2 linked regions of the Drosophila melanogaster genome follow. The protein of the gene in region 2 interacts with the protein of the main gene of each other region in a pairwise test. Each region holds a gene or a part of one and is shown on either strand. Other genes may lie near its edges.

Evidence for each region.
Region 1: the proteins of CG13625 (region 2) and kin17 interact in a two-hybrid assay, tested with the Drosophila melanogaster proteins (one large-scale study listed by BioGRID).

What each region holds. Positions count from the first base shown.
Region 1 is NT_037436.4:20,354,753-20,358,832, reverse strand, and holds kin17 (kin17), read right to left. Parts: upstream 2,027-4,080; 5' UTR 1,937-2,026; coding exon 965-1,936; intron 893-964; coding exon 692-892; 3' UTR 502-691; downstream 1-501. Other genes in the region: CG5665 (uncharacterized protein), read right to left, coding at 1-56, 126-321; CG5618 (uncharacterized protein), read right to left, coding at 2,300-2,488, 2,553-3,528, 3,846-4,033.
Region 2 is NT_033777.3:24,582,511-24,587,025, forward strand, and holds CG13625 (uncharacterized protein), read right to left. Parts: upstream 2,651-4,515; 5' UTR 2,571-2,650; coding exon 627-2,570; 3' UTR 557-626; downstream 1-556.

The DNA.
Region 1 (4,080 bases), on a different chromosome or scaffold from region 2:
CCTTATGTCCGGAGTGATTTGCGCAGGGATTCTGTCCATAAAGAGGGTGGAAGAACCTGGCATTTAGATCACAATAAAATCAAATAACTTTTTATATGTTGATAAACACAGGACGTTATCCTTACACACAGCATCAATTATGTTGGAAGCCAATTCAAGTGGAGCAGCTGTGAGTATGTTCGCCTTAATGGTGGCGATGTCAGTTAAAAGTCTAGGCACTGCATCCCACCAGCTTCGCGTCAACCTTCCCTCTTCGTCAACAGCTATATCTCCCAATGCTCCGAGGCGTAATAGGATAACAATGCCACACAGAATCCTCATATCCCTTCTTTAGCACACCGATGCTGGAACTAGTTTAAGTTTTGCAAGTATAGAAATTATCGCTAGTAAAGCGGCCATTGTTCGCTGGTTTTATTGTTCCCAAACTGAACTCGAAAATATTGTTTGCATACCCACTGAAATATTCGTACACTGAGTAAATGAGAGTGTTCTAGTTATTTTCATTAAAAAGTCATGTTTTATTAACCCAAATGCTGAGCAGTCCAAATTTAAGTAACGAACGTATTATGTGCAGATTTTTGTCTAGTTCGATTTCAGCCTTTCTCCGAAATGGTTAAGATTTTTTACTTACATATATATCAAATTAGGCATAAAAAGGTACAACTATAGAATTTAACTTAGAAAAGCGCAGCTAGGCGCCATGTAGTTTAGATATATCTTCGTATTGCACGTTGTCTACAATTCTGCCTTTGAGAGGACCGTGCAATATTTCCACGCTGACTGAATATCTGCGCTCGTCCAGTTTCCTTAGCAGAGCCTCGGATCCCCGATAAGCGCCATTAACCACCATGACAGGCTTGTCCAAAGCGGGGATTACCGTCTCCAAATGAGCCTGGAAAACAAAAAAAAATAAAAACACCTGGGTAAATATCCGTTATAGATTAAAATTGGGTTTCCATCTTACTTGATCCACTTTTAGCTTTTCCCCAGTCTCCAAGAACTTGATTTTGCCCTGATATCTGTCAATTACGTCCAGGACAACCGCTTTTTGTTTGAAGAACTTTTCGCCCATGGATTTGGAAATAAATTTGACCACGATACCCTTGTGCAGCCAGTAGTCCTTGCGGTTGGCACGCTCCTTTTTGCTTTCCTCCTGCTTGATGATCTCGTCCAGCACCGACCGCGTTTGGCTGTCTCCAGCCACGGATTTGGGTTTCTTGAACACCTTTTCTTCAGCTTCAGGGGCAGGTCGCTTGGCTAGAGCGGATTTCCCTAGCACAGTGTCAGGCTGGAACTTTTTCTCAAGGCGAATATCAAGCTTGAGTGGTTCGTTCTCTTCGCGCTTTAGCTCGGTGAACTTCTCCTGGCCTTCGTCCTCCTCGCCGTCCTTGGCCTTGGCATTTTTAATCTGCTGCTCAATGAAGTCGGCCATCCGCTCCTCGTCGTCCTTCTCCATCTTCTCCTTGCGATCAGCCTTCGCCTGTCGTTCCATGGCCTCTGGACTGCGATCAATGTAGGTGACGAACCAGCCCTTCTCCGTCTCATCCGCTATCACTTGCCCAGTCCGGCCCAGCCACTTCACGTAGTCGGACAGGGTGAGCCATCGGGTGGCGTTCATGTGGATGTGCTCCTTGTGGGCAATGTACTCCTGGTAGATCTTGTTGGCGCTGGTTCGCTTCGTGCCGAACCGCCGGCGCAGCAACTCCATGTAGCCGTCGGAGAACTCTTTGCTGAAGCTGTGCAGGAATTTGCCAGGATTGTCCGCAAAGAGGAGCAACTGGCGCTGGTGGGACTCGCTCATCGTGTGGCACTTGAAGCCGTTTTCATCGCGGCACTGCTTCTCGCACATCTGGCAGTACCAGCGCAGCTTCTGCAGACCCTTCGATTTCATCTTGTTGGCGAGGTACTTGGGCGTACCTACCTCGGCGCGACCCATCGTAGCGTCTTTTTATGTGCGTGGTTTTACAAATAATTTCTCAACAAAAACTTATTGTTTTGATCTCACGTAAAGGTATGACCGCGCTGGGGTATAACAACAATACCCGTGAACACTTTTATCGATAGTTACTGCTGGGGGATGTTCGTGTGACCAGGCTAATATTATTTGTTGATAGCGGTAGAAAATGAATTTAAAAAACTTAATATTCATTTCTTGAAAGATTTTTATTTAAATATTCAAAATAGAGATTAAGCCGAGTTTACATAATAAAGGCGTATTTTTTATCACAAAGTAATAACTACAATGAAATGTACAATTGAACGATTTCCATTAATTAGCTTAATTCACATAGAAAATAATTCAAAGCACAATTTTCTCGCCCAATCTCTCAATTTCGTCCAAAATGAAGTCCAACTCTTTGCTTTTCAGGATGGGAAAACAAGTGAAGACCATGCGAAAGAAGTTGCCCAGATTTTTAGCTTTAAGAGGCGAGTAACCAATCATCAAAGTGCCGCTGTGGGCCATTTGCTCCTTAATTTTCGGGGCCACCTTTAAAGGAGCATATAAAAATGTGAGCTTAAATGGTCTATCAAAGCCATTGTTATTCACTTACAGTGTAAAGTCGACTCCACCATTCAGGCGTCTCCTCCTCGCTGGACACCCTCATTGCTTTCGGAATGAACCAAAAGCAGACATTGGAGTACTCGTGCTCCGGGATCACCAGTCTAAAGCGATCTCCACGCTGGCGCAGCTTGCCTTCCAGCAACCTGGCGATGTGGATGGCGTGGTCCACCATGAGTCCATACTTTCCATATCCGCGAGCCTTAAGCATTAGCCAGAACTTGAAAGCGTCGATCTTGCGGCCGCACTGGACACTCTTGTTTCCCGTATCGTAGGATACATCATAGAACTTGTCCTGCTGGAACAAATAGTGCGCCTCGGTGCTGTTGCATCTTTCCAGCAGACGGCCAGATTCCCTGGTCAAAAAGAGTGAACACTGCAATGGAGCGCCGATGGTTTTGTGCGGATTCCAGGAAAACGAATTCGCCCGCTCGAGGCCGGCAATGAGCGATCGGTTCTTGGCGGAGAGTAGTGCAGCGCCTCCCAGACAGGCGTCCACATGGAGCCACAGACCATGTCGTTCCGTCACATCCGCCGCACCATTGATATCATCAAAGGCACCCAACACAGTGGTGCCTGCAGTACAGTTGACAAAGAACGGTTCACCGCCACGTGCCTTTGCCTCTGCGATCTTCGCCTCCAGGTCGTCCAACAGCATCTGACCCCGCTCATTGGTCCTCACCGACACACAGTTGTAGCTGCCCAATCCCAGCCAGTTGGCCGCCTTCACGAAGCTGTAGTGCGACTCGTCGGAGGTAAAGAGCACCAGCGGTCGCATTCCAAACATTCCAGACGTCTTCACCTCGGGCGCGATCTTATAGCGGGCCAGAACCATGCCGTACATGTTGGAGGTGGAGCCACCGGGCGCAAAGATGCCATCGCCTTCCTTGTATCCCGCTAACTTGCAGATGGTCGCGATCACCTCAGTTTCGATCAAGCTAAACACGGGCGCAACTTCGTAGGTGTATCTGAAACAAAAGTTTATTGTGTCTTGTTGGATACCTCGGTTAAAAGTCTGATTTTGGTAGTCCTATCTAGGAAATCTCATCTAAATGATTAATAACTTGCAATGATTGTGTATGAACTCTGCTTAATCCCCATTTAAATTAATCGAAAGGGGGGGGGGGGGGTTATGAAACATACATGTAGTACTTTGCAATCTCCATTACATAGCGCAATTATCTGTACGTTGAACCCCGACACCACTTGTAGATTGGAACACGAGATGCAATCAGCGGTCACTCATATAGACAAGACACATGTGTGGAATAAGGCGCAGACTTACGTGCTGCCGTTCATGGCCTCGGTGACCAGGGCTCCTGCCAGTCCAAACGGGTCCAGCTGGCCAAAGAGCTGATTGTGGAAGCGGCCGTGCGAGGTTTTCACAGAGTAATGGATCACCTGCTGGCACAGCTCCTCGATCTCCGCGAGCGAGCAGTTTTCCGTCTCTCGAACCTTCAGGTTAATCAGTTCCTGGAAGTGATGGTGCGAAATCATGTAATCTCAAGATTGTTATAGAA
Region 2 (4,515 bases):
TGGGGGCGGGGCAACAAACACACACCACTGGCGTCCCACTCGATACACATATACAGTTGCTTACGCTTTGTTCGCTGTAACGAAAGCAGCAACAAAGCAACCAAAAGCAGAACCATTTACATACACACACACACATCGATACTCTATTGCTTACAAAGCAAAAATCTTAGAATGCTTCTATTTAGCAGATGATGTCACTTACCTATTCTGGTTTTGAAGCCAAAATGTGCGGCACACTTTAAACTTGATAATTACAATGGGTTTTCCCCAGTTACACGGTTTATTCCGTGGTTTTGAAACGATTTTTTGGGAGCGACGAGCAGGTCGCAGGTGTAGATGAAGACTATTTACCATTCGCTTTTGCTCCGCTATTCTACACACAGGGTTGCATTGCGCTGGCGACCAGTGTTGCAGGTGGCACGTCGATTTGGCGGGAAAGTGGCGGGCATTTCGAAAATCAAATTTTTGTAAATAAATATTAAATATTATATTACCTATTTACATTCTTTATTTTCCAAAATAATTCAATAAAACAAAGAAAACGATCAATGTAATTGCTCTTTTCTTTTTTACAGGCAGTGCCTACATCTTTATTGCAACACGAAAGCAAACAACGCTTGCAACATTCACATATCCTCCACGCTGTACTTGTAGGCCTCATCCTGCACGGCCCGCCGTTCGTTCTGTTTGTCGAACCAACGCTGCTCGTAGCCGTTGGATCGATCGACGCCATCCCAGCGATATCCTGGTCGGATGCCAAATCGGTTCTCCGGAAAGCTGCCCTCGTACTTGGGCATCACCGGCTTGTTGTCCTGCTGGTCGCGTTTCTTGCGCTTCTGGCGCATGTACTCCAGCATCGGGTCGTCGGCGTGCTCCTGTTCGCGCAGATGCCTGTCCAGATCCTCGTCGTTGGCATAGCGAGCCACCGGTTTGGAGGCCTCATGGACCATCTCCTCCAGGCGGGACTTGTGATCTTCTATTTGCTTCAACCCCTTGCCCCAGCGATCGTACAGTTCCTTCTTCTTTTTCTCGTGCTCCTCTTTGCGGCCCTGCTCGGCGGGATCCTCATTGGCGGCATCTCGTGCTCGGTGTCCCTTTCTGCGAGTACTGCGCACCTGCACATCGCCATCACGACCGGAAATTTCGCTGGACATTTTCTCGAATAGTTCATGTTCTTGTCGACGCCTTTCGTCGGTTTCCTTCTTCAGCGATTTCGCATCCTGCAGTCCAGCTTTCTTGCCATCTAGTGTCTTGGTGGATTTCGGCTTGTGTGTCGGAGGTGGAGATGCTGATTTGCTGGGCGATGCCTTGGCCCAGCGACTTTTCCTTTCTTCCTTGAAGCGATTACGAGGCGGTGGACTGCGCTCTCGACTTCTGTGATTTCTGGCCGGGCTTTGGTCGGAGTCGTGACGTCTGCGTGGTGATTTGTCTCGTTTTCTGGTTGGACTTTGGTCGAAGTCTCGTTTTCTTCGCGGTGGCGATTGATCTACATCCTTGGGTCTTCTTGGCGGGCTTTGATCGGAGTTTCTTCTCCTCCTTGGCGGCGTTTGCTTGTCATCTCTGCGTCTTCGGGGCGGGCTTTGATCTGAATCCCGCCTCCTTCGCACTGGAGACTGGTCATTGTCTCTCCGTTTCCTAGGCGGACTTTGGTCGGAGTCTTTCCTTTCCCTTCGCACCGGAGATTGATCGTCTGCTTTACGCCTTCGAGGTGGGCTTTGATCGGAATCTTTCCTCCTTCTGGGCGGAGTTGAATCCTTGTCTCTACGTCGCCTTGGCGGACTCTGATCGGAGTTACTTCTGCGGCGTCTGGGTGGCGATTGATCGGAATCCCTTCTCCTTCGAGTGGGTGATGCTTTTCCCGTTCGTTTTCTTGGCGGACTTTGGTCGGAATCCCGCCTTTTTCTGACTGGCGATTGATTGCCATTCCTGGCCTTTCGGGGTGGACTCTGATCGGAATCCCTGTGCTTTTGGCGTGGCGGAGACTGATCGCCATCTCGCCCTCGTCTGGTGGGACTCTGATCTGAGCTTCCCGCCCTTCTTCGCCCCCTTTGAGGACTCTCTTCTCGCTTTGCTGGCTTACTCGATCTCGCTGGGCTTAAATCCCTAGAGCTGCTGCGTTTTTCTTGCTTAATTCTGACGGGTGAACTTCGTCTGGATGGTGAGAATTCATCCTTAACCTTAACAACTGTCGCCTTGCGTCCCCACATCTCCTGCTCCTCATCCAAGGGCTCCTGTTTGATGCGAATGCCAGTTGCTGGCGAGGATTCCTCGTGCTCTTCTTTGATTTCATCCTTGACGGCAATGTTGCGCCACTTGCTGCGCACATTGGGATCCTCTTCGATGTACTCGCCCACAATTTGAGGCGCATCCTCGCCGCCCAGCAGTAGATCTTCGTCCATTTCCAGATTATCATTTTCGTAGGCGTCGTCATCGATGATTTTCACTTTGGTGTTGGCCGAATTCTTTTTGTGCTTCTTCTCCTTCTTTTTCTTCTTCTTCTCCTTGTCGCCGGATAGGTACTTCTTGAGGTACTCCTTCTGGTCGATGACTTTGGCCTTTTGCATGGACATTTTTGTGCAATAAAAGCGGGAAATTGTAATTTACAATGAATTGTTTACGTTTTTTATGTGCTCAATGTTACCGTTCATAGTATGTGTCGAAATGCCACGCACTGCTTGAGTGCTGTTAGGCTGCGCTTAACAGCACGCAGTTAACAATGTGCAGCAGTCTGGCAACGCCAGCGTGTATGCACTTGTCATTTAATTAATTATATAAACTAAGCTTGTTTTTCATTACATTCTTCAATATGATAGCATATATTATTATGTAGATTTGATTTCTTGCCATTTATTGATCATTACATTCTTAAAACGTAATATTGCGCTTCAAATTTTTAAATCAATTATTCTGCGCGCCATAGTGACTAACTGTTAACCAAAAGCATTCGATAAGGCAGTTATGTTATGGAATTAAGGTAAATATTTACACTTGGAAGTTTTCAATGCACCTAATTGCCTGAATAAAACTGCTGCTCATCAATAGACGAGTGCACTCTGCTTACCAATTTGCCCAAATTCATGCGATTATTTTTGCGGCCATTCGCCTGCGCATCACTAACTTCGAGGCGCACTGACAAGTCAACAAATTCCTGGTGAAGCCTTCAAACTCGCCACAGCGTGTTTTCCGCTGAGAGAAATTTCGCAGGAAACGCATAGAAAAGAAAATTTCGTAAAAATTTGTGAATTCCAAAGCCCATTTACATTTAACTTTCGTTATGTGATCGAAGAAGAGAAAAGTTGCACCTAATTATCGTGTTGCATGGGCGTTGTTAATTGGGCCGCCGGCCTTATTTTGCTGGCGGCGGCGTTATCGGCGGCGGATTAACTTCGGGTGAATGTTTCTGTTTCCTAGAAAACGTAAGTACTAAGCAGCCGAATAAGCGGCTTAAATGCGCTTAAATGGCGGATTAAATCGAGCCACGGCAATTATTTGTCTTACTTCCTGAAAACTCTGAAGTGGCGCGTTCTCTTCAGGAGACTAAGTGGAAAGTCCTCGAGGGCTCTTACTGCAGCCTTTTTGTGTGGAATCGGCATAGGGAATCGGCATTGGCATCACATGGCTGCCAGGATGTTGCATTTTGTGCGGCAGGGGGGCAGTGGGTCTGATGGGGAAGGGGTAGGGGGCACTAAGTGACGAGGGGTGTTTAAGTGACGAATGAAATGAAGCGCAAAAACAAAGAGCACGCAGCAACAATGCCCGAGACGAACAACAATTGGCAGGAAAAGCGTTGGGGAAAGTCAAAAAGGGCTGTGGAGGAGCGAAGCGGGGGGGGCGGGGCGGTGGTGTTGGTAAGCAAAGGGTCGGGGGCACCCACATATTCACATTTTGAGTGCAAGAACGCGCGAATGGCATGCAAATTAATTCGCTTAACTGAGCTTTTAAAGCGCTCTTATTATATTCCGTTGTTTTGGTTGCGTTCTCTCCATTACCCCTTTTTCTGCATTGTTCGCATTTCTTTTTGCCCAGTTTTTTGCGCTCGCATTCATGAAATTTAAAGCCCACGGCGTGCTTAACCTCCTTACCCTCCCCCTGCCATCTTCATTATCTCTCGCTCTGACGCACTCGCTCTTACGCGCGTCTCCTTCTCGCTCTCGCTGCTTTGTCTGCCGCGCTCTACTTCTGCCATCTCTGTTTCTGTTTTGGTGCTGTCCCACAAACAGCTGATTTTTTCAACGTGCTCTCCATGCCGCTGCTGTCTCGCTCCCACTCGCTCGCCCTCTCTGTCCCGCCGCATAGTTGTGTATAAATTCAAATTCCTTTCGAAATTCTTTACAAAGGTTTGAGTCTGCGCTTACAGCACTTACCGCCCACATTCCGCTTTCGATGACTTTCGAAAGTTAACGGAGTGCCATTCCTTAACCATTTTAGTTAAAATAACTATGTTCTTACCTTTGAAGCATACACCGCGTGCGCTCATATAGCAAACATTTTTGATACATATACGTACATAGTGTG